3 linked regions of the Callithrix jacchus genome follow. The protein of the gene in region 3 interacts with the protein of the main gene of each other region in a pairwise test. Links are inferred from orthologs where the notes say so. Each region holds a gene or a part of one and is shown on either strand. Other genes may lie near its edges. The genes, in order: RTN3, ACTL8 and CERT1.

Region 1 (3,653 bases), on a different chromosome or scaffold from region 3:
TAAATCCCAGCACTTTGGGAGGCCAAGGCGGTGGATCACTTGAGGCCAGGAATTTGAGACCACCCTGGCCAACATGGTGAAACACAGTCTCTACTAAAAATACAAAAAATTGGCTGGGCATGGTGGCACACACCTGTAATCCCAGCTCCTTGGGAGGCTAAAGCATGAGAATCAAGAATCTCTTGAACCCAGGAGGCGGAGATTGCACTGAGCTGAGATTGTACCACTTGTACAGCCTGGGCAATAGAATGAGACTCCATCTCAAAAAAAAAAAGATAAATAAATAAAACTAGACACTGATGCATTTTACTGAAATGGTTTTTATTTTTATTTATTTATTTATTGAGACAGAGTCTTGCTCTGTTGCCCAGGCTGGAGTGCAGTGGGGCCATCTCGGTTCATTGCAATGAAATGGTTATTTTAAAAGATGTACTCATAAATAAGACAATTTAAAAAGGTTTTCACTTTTGAAAGCTACAAGAAAGACCTTTAAATTTCTTGGTCTAACTATACCAGTCTTCTTTAATTATCATCTAAAAATACATACTAATCATAGAATTTGATCAGTGACAAATATCCTGAACTTCCATAGCCCTTTTCATCTCTCATGCTAGATTAAATGATTCAGTTGAGAATTACTAATAATTAGCATTTACACAACACTTTATTTACTGCAACACACAAAGCAGGGGAAAATAATGATCATCACATTAACAAAGGAAGACGCTGAACCAATTAGACTAGTCATCTAAGGTCACGCTAAAGCAGGAACTTGCCAGAATTAGACACGGGAGTTCTTATAGCATAATTCCAATATGACTTATTACTCAAAAGTTACTACCTATAAGAATTATGACAACTCAGGAAGAAATCTAGAATGTACCAGAGCCACAGAATCACATTACTGAAATAACTGAAGATCATCTACTTCAAGATCCTCACTTTACAGATAAGAAAACTGAGGCCCCCAAAAGCCTATCTAAGTTAGTTGTTCAAAGTCGTACTTCTAGGCACAGTACAGCAAGAATTAGAATCTAGTACTCTTTAATCTAAATTCAGTGAGCTTCAAATACTAGAGTGTAACAGCTATCCTTAATTGGTAATTCAAAAATTTTGGTTTATTGAAAAGCCTCAATGTCTTCACTGATAATTATTAGTGAAATAATTCATGTCATTAATTCAATAAGTAATTATCCAGTACTTATTACTATGTACCAGGCCATGTATGTGGTGCTAAATCTGACTGAGTATTTACTATGTGCTAAGCACTGAATTACCTGTATTTTCTTTTTGAGATGGAGTCTTGCTCTGTCACCCAAGCTGGAGTGCAACGGTGCAATCTTGGTTCACTGCAACCTCCACCTCCCAGGTTCAAGTGATTCTCCTGCCTCTCCAGCTTTCCAAGTAGCTGGGATTACAGGCATGTACCACCATGCCCGGCTAATTTTTTTCTTTTGTATTTTTAGTAGAGACGGGTTTCTCCATGTTGGTCAGGCTGGTCTCGAACTCCCGACCTCAGGTGATCCACCCACCTCAGCCTCCCAAAGTGCTGGGATTATAGGCGTGAGTTACCGTCCTGACCTACATTTCCATATTTAATCCTCACAATACCATTATAAGGTTAAGTACAATTTCTCTGTTTTAAATATTAAAACTTAAGAAGGTAAGTCTACCTATGGTCTCCAGTAAGGAAATGCCTTTATGAGAAGTAAATAGTATAATCAAACACGAAATACGTTTAGCCTAACAAAAATCTCACTTTCTTGTAAATACTACAACTCTGTATATGATTTCATTTGAAAAAAGGATCTATAATCAAAAAAGTTTAAAAACCACAGATCTCTACATAGCACCTAACACTGACCATATGGTAGATGCAGAACTTGGTATTACATTAAAGGTTGGGGGTCTCTTGTAGAAGGCTTGAAAGATCTTTTTTTTTTTTTTCCTTGTACTTTCCAAGACCTCAGAATAGACAGTATTTGCAGTAATTTAACTGAAAGCCACTTGCTATAAAAGTGATCACTTGAAATAGAAGACAAGAGAAGGGGTTTCTGGTACCATCTAACAATGAGTTTTGGCCTGAAGAATATTAAGTAAGATACAAAGTAGAAGAAAGTACGAGTTTTCCTAAGTATTACTCATAAAATAGTACTACAATACTGGTTACCTACTTTCAGAGCATAAAATCTCTGTAGTATATGATCACATTAATTAAAAGTTTCATTTACTATCTTTCCCAGCAGGAATTCCTTTATCTTTGATTGCTAAGATTTCACAATGTCCATATCAATAAACCCAAGTGCTAAGAAGTGTGACTGTTATAAAGATTTAGAAATAAGCTTTGTAAATAAGTAAGAACCTGATGATATTAGGTTCTCACCTAATATCACCCTAGGGCCAACCTATAAGAAAAGACATACCTTGAAATATAACTGGAGCATAGAAAAAAATTTTAGGGGAAGATTAATTTTACAAAGTGGTCTACTGCTTTGGGAAATACTGGTATTAAGGAAACCAAATCAAACAATCATTATTAAAAAAAAAGAGAGAGAGAAGAAGAATCTGCCTTTCCCATCATACAGTATATTATATTCTAGCCATAATCTGTAGGTATAAATCGGCCTCTAACATAAATGGCATGCTGATAAATAATCAATCACAGAATTAACCACATGCAGTATTCTGATGTGAATAGTTACCTGAGAAGTCTGTCAGAAGTCTTGCTAGGACATGCTTTTTTACTAATTCAGTCTTGCTAAGGCTGGAAACAGCATCTACCCTAGTGGTTTCTCTGATAGCAGTGGGCTTTTGGGAAATCCCAAGATCAGATCCATTCTTGACATTATGTTCTAGGATGTCACATGATCTCTGTGGCCAAGATTCTGGAGCGAATGTGAAAGTTTGTTTCAGCACTTCTTCAGAAGGCAATTCTGTGTCATGCTGTACAGAAGCTGACTTCTCAACCTGTCTTTCACCTAATTCTTTAAGAGCCTTGATTGTGAGCTGTTCTTGTTCTAAGTCAAGGGATGCTACTGGAGTACCTTGGGTGGGGAAAACACCTAGAGGTTCACTTCCATTTGTTTCTTTGCTTTGTTCACTGTATTTGCTTCCAATGTCTTTAATTTCAGAACCACCAGGCTCATTTTCACGTAAGACTTTTTCTACAGGAAGAGCTGTTTTAAAGTCTGTGGTCTTCTCTGATCCTGCCTTAAAGGCATTTCCTTCACTAGCTACTATTCCTTTCTCTCTGGTTTCTGTAAAGGCTGCTACTAGGTCCTCTGGGGAGGAATCATCTATATGTTTAACATTTTTCCCATCTAATGACTCTAAATAGGCAGATGTTGTCATATTTAATGAGAATTCTGTCTCATTAGAAACATCTGGAGACACTGAAGGAAGTTTGGGGTTCTGAGTAGTAATAGGCTTTTCAGGCACAACTTCACTCACTTTATCTGACTGCTTCACATCTACAGAGATATTCATATTGGGTACTTTTGAACATGCTGCCTCACCAGCTGGACTCCTTTCAAGAGTATCAGGCCAATCTTGATGTAGTTCAGAAGCACTGACCAACTCCTCAAAGTTTTTAGATGTTTCTTCTTCTCTCTTACAACTGGGAGTCTCTTTGATTTCTCTTTCACCTGTTTTTA
Region 2 (2,851 bases), on a different chromosome or scaffold from region 3:
AGTTTTATTGGAACATAGCCACACACATTTGTTTATATGTCGTGTAACACAGAAAGAGAGAGGAGAGAAGAAAGAAAATATGCTCATTGCCTAGTAGACAAAGCCTTATTGTTATTATTTTTTAATGCTTTCCAAACATCAAGACAAAACAGGAATTCTGATATTTACAGTTTGGCAGTGTGCTTTCCTACTACGGCATCTGAGTTAAGTCGTGCAGCAGAGATGGTTTGAGACCATATATCAAGTTAAAGGCTAAAATATTTACTGGTGTGGGTTTGCTAGATAAAATACATGATGCCTAGACTTGAGTTTGAGGGAAATGACAAATAATGTCTTCGTATTTAAGTATGTCTCAAATAGTGCATGGGGCATACTTACGCTACAACATTATTTATTGTTGATCTGACATTCACATTTAACTGGGCATCCTGTAGTTTCATTTGCTGGATTTGGCAACCCTTACTGTCTATCCCCTTACAGAAAATGCTTGCGAGGCATTGAAGAGGAAGTTCCTGGGGAGTTTTAAATGGAGAGTTGTAAATGGGGCAGTCATGTCTGATTTTCTATTTGAAAAAGAGAACCTTGGCTGCTATTTGGGAAATGACTGGGCGGGAGGAAAATTTTCTGAAAGTGGTAATAGAGGGAGCCCCCTCCCACTGAGGGAAGAGGATGGGCTTGTGGGGGCTTGAAGAGGTGAGTAAGTGGTTGGGGCCACAGAAGTGTTGACTGTTATGATCTTTCTCCTTCTGTGGGATTAGAACCTTAGACAGGCAGCCAGAACTGAGGAATGGTTGGCAGAGGGGCTTCATAAAGATTCAGGGGGTAAGGGGCAGGGGGAGAAAACCAGCCCAGGGGCTCTACCAAACCCTAAATATCAGAATTCCAGGTTTATCTTGACATTTGTAAGGTTTTTATTTTAAAAAAAGGATAAAATCAGGCGCTTCCTACCAGGCAGTGGGCATCCTGTCTCTTTTCTTCCTTTTCTGCCTTTTTTCTTCCTTCTACCTGTTGTCTTTCTTTCTTGTCTCTCTTGTCTGTCCCCCTCCACCTTTTGGAGGCAGTGGTGGATATCCAGCACTTGTTTCTTTTCTAGTCTGTCTTCCTTCTTCTTAAGTGGCAGTTCAGGCTGCATGTGTGACCCGTGGCCATGCCGTTCATGTAGCCGGCATCCCAGAACTGTTTCTTGCAGCCACAGAGCTCTTCTCACCTCTCCACCCAGGTGGTCTGAACGGCCACGAGCAGACAAGCTCCTGAGGGCTAACCCAGCTCCCCTTCTAATCCTCCAGAGCTGCTGCTTTATCCTCACTGCATGAGCTCCAGTAGCTCTGGGCACAGCATCCTGGGGCAGCCTGAGGGTCCCCTGAGGTCGTGGGTCTGTGCTAACTTCAGCTTTGACGGCTGAGCAGGCTGGGGAATAGCACTGAGTTTGCTCTCCCTCGTTGCAGATCCTGTTTGAGTTGCTGCACGTCCCATCTGTCCTCCTGGCCGACCAGGTACAGATGTCCCTGTATGCCTCTGGCCTCCTGACCGGTGTGGTGGTCGATTCTGGCTACGGACTGACCCGCGTGCAGCCTTTCCACCAGGGCCGCCCCTTGCCCTACAGTGGCAAGACGCTGGAGTTCGCCGGCCAGGATCTCTCTGCCTACCTCCTGAAAAGCCTCTTTAAGGAAGATTGTGATAGACGCAGCGTGTTTCAGCTGGAGACGGTCGCTGTGACTCAGATGAACAAGTGCTACGTGCCGCAGAATCTGGGGGAGGCCCTGGACTTTCGCGAGAGCCAGCAGAGTGGCTTGAATGAGAGCAACACCTATCAGCTCCCAGACGGCTCCCGTGTGGAGCTGACCCCCATGCAGCAGATGGCTCCTGAGATGTTCTTCAGCCCACAGATGTTTGAGCAGCCAGGGCCCAGCATCCCACAGGCCATCCTGGAATCCCTAGAGTCCTGTGAGATCTCCCTGCGCCCCCTGCTGGCCTCCCACGTGATGGCCTGTGGGGGCAACACCCTTTATCCCGGGTTCACAAAACGCCTGTTCAGGGAGCTGATGATGTGGGATTATTTTTCCTCCATCAGAGCCACGGTCTGGGCAGGTTCCAATAGAAACTTCAGTGTCTGGCTAGGAGCATCTGTGGTGGCTCACCTTTCTACCTACCAGTCTGAGTGGATGTCCCGAGAGGAGTATGGTGAGCGTATGAGGGTATGACCCTACTGGCTCACTCCTGAGAATGGGCCCCTGTTAGATGGGCATGGGGGGATTAATTCCAGCAAAATGTTCTGGGCAGGGGTAAAGTGAGATGGGGTGGGGTTACCTGGCTTCGGAATTATGGGGTCATGAGGGTATTTTTTAGGTTTTAAGGTTTTATCTTGTTGCAAGAGTGGGATCCACCCAAGGGGGAAGATAAGATGTCATCCTCAGAAACCCTACAGGGGACAGTTTTTCCAGAGTGGCCTGCCACTGGAGTATGAGTGGCTGGCTGCCATCTCCATGTCTGATAGCCACTGGTTTTTCATTGGCATCTCCCTTGGCTTGTCTCATTCTTCTTAGTTGAGTAGATTTTAAGTGGGATAACCCTTCTGCTAGGAGTCCCAATTATTTTTGACTAGGGGATGGGGGAGAGTTGACATTTCTGGTCCCACAGACCCTTTCTGGCCTGTGAGGCATTGCTGCAGGTGAGCCTGGGATGCCCTCGCCACCGTTCTTCCTGTCTGTCTTCCTCCACTTTTGGATCCACTGGTTGGATCTTGTTTTATATCTGCAAATAAACAGCTTGTCTGGAAATAGTGCTGGCTCCTGTGGTGGATGGGGGGGTGGACCCTTGGAGAGACTCAGTGAGTGTAAGTGTGAGAGAGCCA
Region 3 (4,429 bases):
TATTACTGTGGCCGACAGGACAGCAAACACAAATTCAAGAGAAAAAGGTACATTTAGAATAAGAGTCAGAAGCAAGCTACAAACAAAATGCTATGGGAATTCCAGTGAAGGAGGTCTTGAATGACGGTGAAATAATAAAAGGCTTTATGGAAAAGACAGTATTTGACTTAGACTCTTAAAGATGGATAGAACTTCAAGAAAGGTGTGTGGAAAAACAGAAGAAGGAAAACCATGAGGGATGGAGGAAATTCAGAAATTGAATGAGACTTATTTTATCCAGACTTAGCTGCTTTTAAGTCCAACTAAGGCAAGAATTTTTTCCCCACCATGATCCATCATGATATTTGTTATAACCACATAGAATTATTGTATATCCAGTATTTTTGGAATCTATACTCTTAAGTGATTTATAAGAAATATGCCTCATAGGTATTTCCATGTATTTCAGACTACCAGATGGAAAATATGCTTTGAACTGTATATTTTTAATATAAATTTACCTCAGCCCATTCAAAATCCACCCCATTTTGAGGGAGAAACAAAACAAACTGCACTGGGACTTATTTACATTACTCAATAAAAGGAAAAGAACAAAAGCCGAGTTCTGACCCTTGTTTAAATTACCAGGTGAATACAAAGAATTCAAAATATATAGTTTACATTTAAAAACATGTACCATACTCAGTATAAGTATATATATTCAATTTAGAATACCTTTGATTAAAAAGCTTCCAGAAAACACTATATGTAACCATAAATTGGTAAATCTCAGGAAAAATTTCCTTCAAAGCTATTAGCAAGAATAATATCAAAAGCTTTATTCCTATGGATTCTACATAAGCACCAACAGTCAAAATAAGTTACTCCCCTTCCATAAAGGTGTCAAATACATTTTTACACATTTAAATATCGAGATTGGTCTTCCATTTTTTGACCTATAGTATACCTACTCCACATACAGTAAATACTTAGAACACTGGTGACTTTTCCCTCAGTCACTCCACTCCCCCTACCCCTAAAAAAGTAATTATCAGTAGGTTAAAAGTACAATTTGTTTTGCAAAATACTTAACACACCACAGTACTAGTATGGCAATCGGCTTCCCATCTTATGAGCAGTGATGAAACTATCAAAATCACTGAGAAGCAAGTAACCCATTTCACAACTATTACCAACTGAAAATGTATACCTATTATACAATGTGTTCAACAGATTCCTAAATTATAGGATACATTTAATCTAAAGAAATCCTGAGGAGCTTCACTTTACTGAAAACCTTGCACTGAAATTTCAAGAATGATCACATCACGAATACATAACATAATTTTTCTGCTATACAAATAAAAGTCAACACTTTCAATCCTTAGTTCTGACTACTCGTGCTTTTCCTGGTCCCCTTTCTAAAGACATTATAAAAGCCTAATATGAAACAATTCCACAAATAATGTCCAAGTGATTTGCCAAAGTATGAATACTGGAAACAGGGTGATTTCTTAATAGCCAGTCTGCACATGACATAGTATCTTATGACCAGCTTGTTGTGGGACTGGCCCAGCTCTCCCTTTCCAAGTTAACTGCTAGCTCCAGCCATTTCTAAAAAAGTTTAACAGGAAGGGAGGGAGAAGTCAAAAAGGCGATGTGAATCTTCTTATAGCAAAAACTTAAAAAAAAAAACAAAAAAACCCACAACCATGTATTATCAAGAGATCACCCATCTAAAGTCCTAGAAATGACTGCTTTGCTAAAATTTTGATACAGGGATTTAAAAAAATATATAAAAGGTGAAATATCTTTTCCTTACCCCGGACCCCTTACCGCAAAAATATTTTATTATTAAATAATGCTCTTCTTCCTGAACTAAAGATCAGTCTCCATTCTCACATGTTCCAAGTTACTATTAATATTTCTTGTGCCTATCAGGTGCTGATTCAATATCTCTCTTCTAAACTGGGGTATAGGGTGGAGAAAGTCCTCCACATTCATCTGTCTCACTACATCTAACCTGGCATAGTTTAGCACCTCAAATTTCAACACCAAGCCGAGTCGCTCCGGCTTCTATCGAAACAGTTGCGTCCGAAGTGCCCCCCAACCTCAGTGCCAACATCCTCAGACAGACCAACCTCTTTTAAGAGGTCCGACTTGAACCACTCCCAGTCGTTCGGACACCGCTGAAGCCCAACCCGGATTCCTTAGACCCGAGACAGCTGCTGCCCTGCGTCTCAAGTCATCTCGCCTCCCAAACCGGATCCCAGGTTGACACACGCTTTCCCTGGTCCTCGGCTGCCCCCGACAGTACCCCTATATCCCCACCTCATCCCCAGTCGCTGCGGCAGTACTCAGCCCCGCACCCCAGCACGTTCCGCGCCTCCCGCCAGCCCCACCCCACGGCCTCAGCGGATTGCCTTGCGGCAGGTGAGTCTGGCCAGAGGTCCCTTGGCACAGCGGGTTGCTCACCTTACTAAGGACCCCGCAGCGCTCCACCGGCGGCCCAGACTCCGTCTCTGGATCCTCCTCCGAGCCCGACGAGTTCCAACTCTGATTATCCGACATGGAGGCGCGACAGCCGAGCAGGAGACCGGCCCCCGCTCCCTCAGCTGCGCCGGAGGAGGCGCCCAGTCCTCGGGGTGAAGGGTCGGGGATGGCGAAGCGAAGAGTGCCCGTTCCGGTATGGGGGGAAGCAGGAGGAGGAACGGAGTCCGCCCGCCGCGCCGCCGCCGCGCCTGACACCGAGCGGAGCGGGGAAGGAGGACAAGTGGTAAAGGAAGTCTACCCTTCCAGCCGTCAGCCGCCGTCGCCGTGACCCCTGCGTTGCGCCCGGCGCCGCCACCTGAACTTAGCCTCCTCGATGCCAATTCCAAACAGGGAAGGAAAAGGGAGAAGAAGGGAAGAGAAAATCCGGCCGCCGGACCCGGGTCCACTCACACCTCCGCTACAGCCGCCATCTTCCTGCCTGGCCCACTATTTACCCTCCCCTCCCCTGTCCTTTCCCCTCCTCTACGTCCTCCCATTCTCCCTCCTACTCTCCGCCCCGTTTCCCTCCCGGCGTCTGACGCAACACGCCGAGCGTTCGGAATCCTCCTCCAGCACCCTACCTCCGGCTCTCCTGGGTGACGTCAAGTATTAAAGTAGGAGGAGCGGCGCAAGGAGAGGGCGGGAGAGGGGCGCCACTCTGTTGAATTCTGGGAAGGGCGCTGGTCTGTCGATCGCGCAGCCTCCTGGGAGTTGTAGTTGCGATCTTGAGGTAACGGGTGAGTATCCCGCGCGGGCATCGCTTGTTGTCTTGGGGACTTGTCAGTCGGTGGGTGGGCTTCGTTTGACAGTTGCGTGACTTGCCCCTCGGCCTCGTTTCTCTCCTTACCTTGTGTGTTTATGACAAACTCTACGGGCTTGCGGGCCCGGACGCAAGAGAACTTTCCGCTGAGGATGACGGGCCTGCTTTCTTGGGCGGCTTTTCGAAAGCTCGGGAGCATCTGGCCGCTTCCGCTTCAACCACGAGCTGAGGGTTTTCTTTCCGCCTAGCTGTAAATCTTAAGGGTCTTGCTAATTATAAGTTCGACTTCACGTTTGACATTTACCGCATTTAAAGGCAGAATTTCCTCACTCCCTTCTCGCAAGCACGCACTTCGCATTTTTTGATTTCTAGAGTTTTCTTTGTGGAAAGTAATTTTGAGGTTGTCAGATAATAAATGACGTTAGAAGAGTTGTTAAAGTGAGTGGCAAGGACTATAGGCACACACCACTAAGCCCAGCTAGCCCAGGTATTGCTGTGTTGCCCAGGCTGGTCTCAAACTCTTGGCCTCAAACATTCCTTCCACCTGACCTCTCAAAGTGCTGGGATTATAGGCATGAGATACAATGCCCTTCCACGAACAAGTCATTTGATTTGAACTTGCTTGAAATTAAAGCAAGCAATTAATTAATTTTTTGTATTGTTTCCCAGGTTCCTCTTGTTAATGATTTCTACTTTTATTCCATTGTGTTTACAAAAGATAATGTGATATGATTTCTACTTTTTTGACTTTGTTGAGACTTGTTTTGTGGCCAAGATGTGGTCTGTTCTGGAGAATGTTACATATGCTGATGAAAGGATTGTTCTGCAGCAGTTGGGTGAAATGTTCTTTAAATGTCAATTAGGCCTATTTGGTCTAGTTTAACCCCCCTGTTTTTTTGTTTATTTTCTGTCTGTATGATTTGTCCTTTACTGAGAGTAGGGTGTTGAATTCCCCTACTATTATTATGTTGCACTCTATCTCTCTCATTGTGTCCATCAATATTTGCTTTATATACCTGGGTATTCTGGTATTGGTGCTTAGATATTGTTAATTGTTATATTATTTTGCTGAATTGACTTGTTTATTCTAATATTGTGATATTCTTGGTCACTCTTTGGAGTCTTTGACTTACAGTAGTATTTTATCTGATATGATAG

Evidence for each region.
Region 1: the proteins of CERT1 (region 3) and RTN3 interact in binary tests that used the Homo sapiens proteins (3 or more experiments, as listed by UniProt). The link is inferred for Callithrix jacchus from reciprocal best matches to the Homo sapiens genes CERT1 and RTN3.
Region 2: the proteins of CERT1 (region 3) and ACTL8 interact in binary tests that used the Homo sapiens proteins (3 or more experiments, as listed by UniProt). The two-hybrid records come from large-scale screens. The link is inferred for Callithrix jacchus from reciprocal best matches to the Homo sapiens genes CERT1 and ACTL8.

The regions. Positions count from the first base shown.
Region 1 is NC_133511.1:120,770,991-120,774,643, reverse strand, and holds part of RTN3 (reticulon-3), read right to left. Parts: coding exon 2,703-3,653; intron 1-2,702. UniProt on the Homo sapiens protein: May be involved in membrane trafficking in the early secretory pathway. Inhibits BACE1 activity and amyloid precursor protein processing. May induce caspase-8 cascade and apoptosis.
Region 2 is NC_133508.1:54,714,877-54,717,727, forward strand, and holds the end of ACTL8 (actin-like protein 8), read left to right. Parts: intron 1-1,445; coding exon 1,446-2,201; 3' UTR 2,202-2,330; downstream 2,331-2,851.
Region 3 is NC_133503.1:135,566,849-135,571,277, reverse strand, and holds the start of CERT1 (ceramide transfer protein), read right to left. Parts: upstream 2,953-4,429; 5' UTR 2,551-2,952; coding exon 2,455-2,550; intron 1-2,454. UniProt on the Homo sapiens protein: Shelters ceramides and diacylglycerol lipids inside its START domain and mediates the intracellular trafficking of ceramides and diacylglycerol lipids in a non-vesicular manner.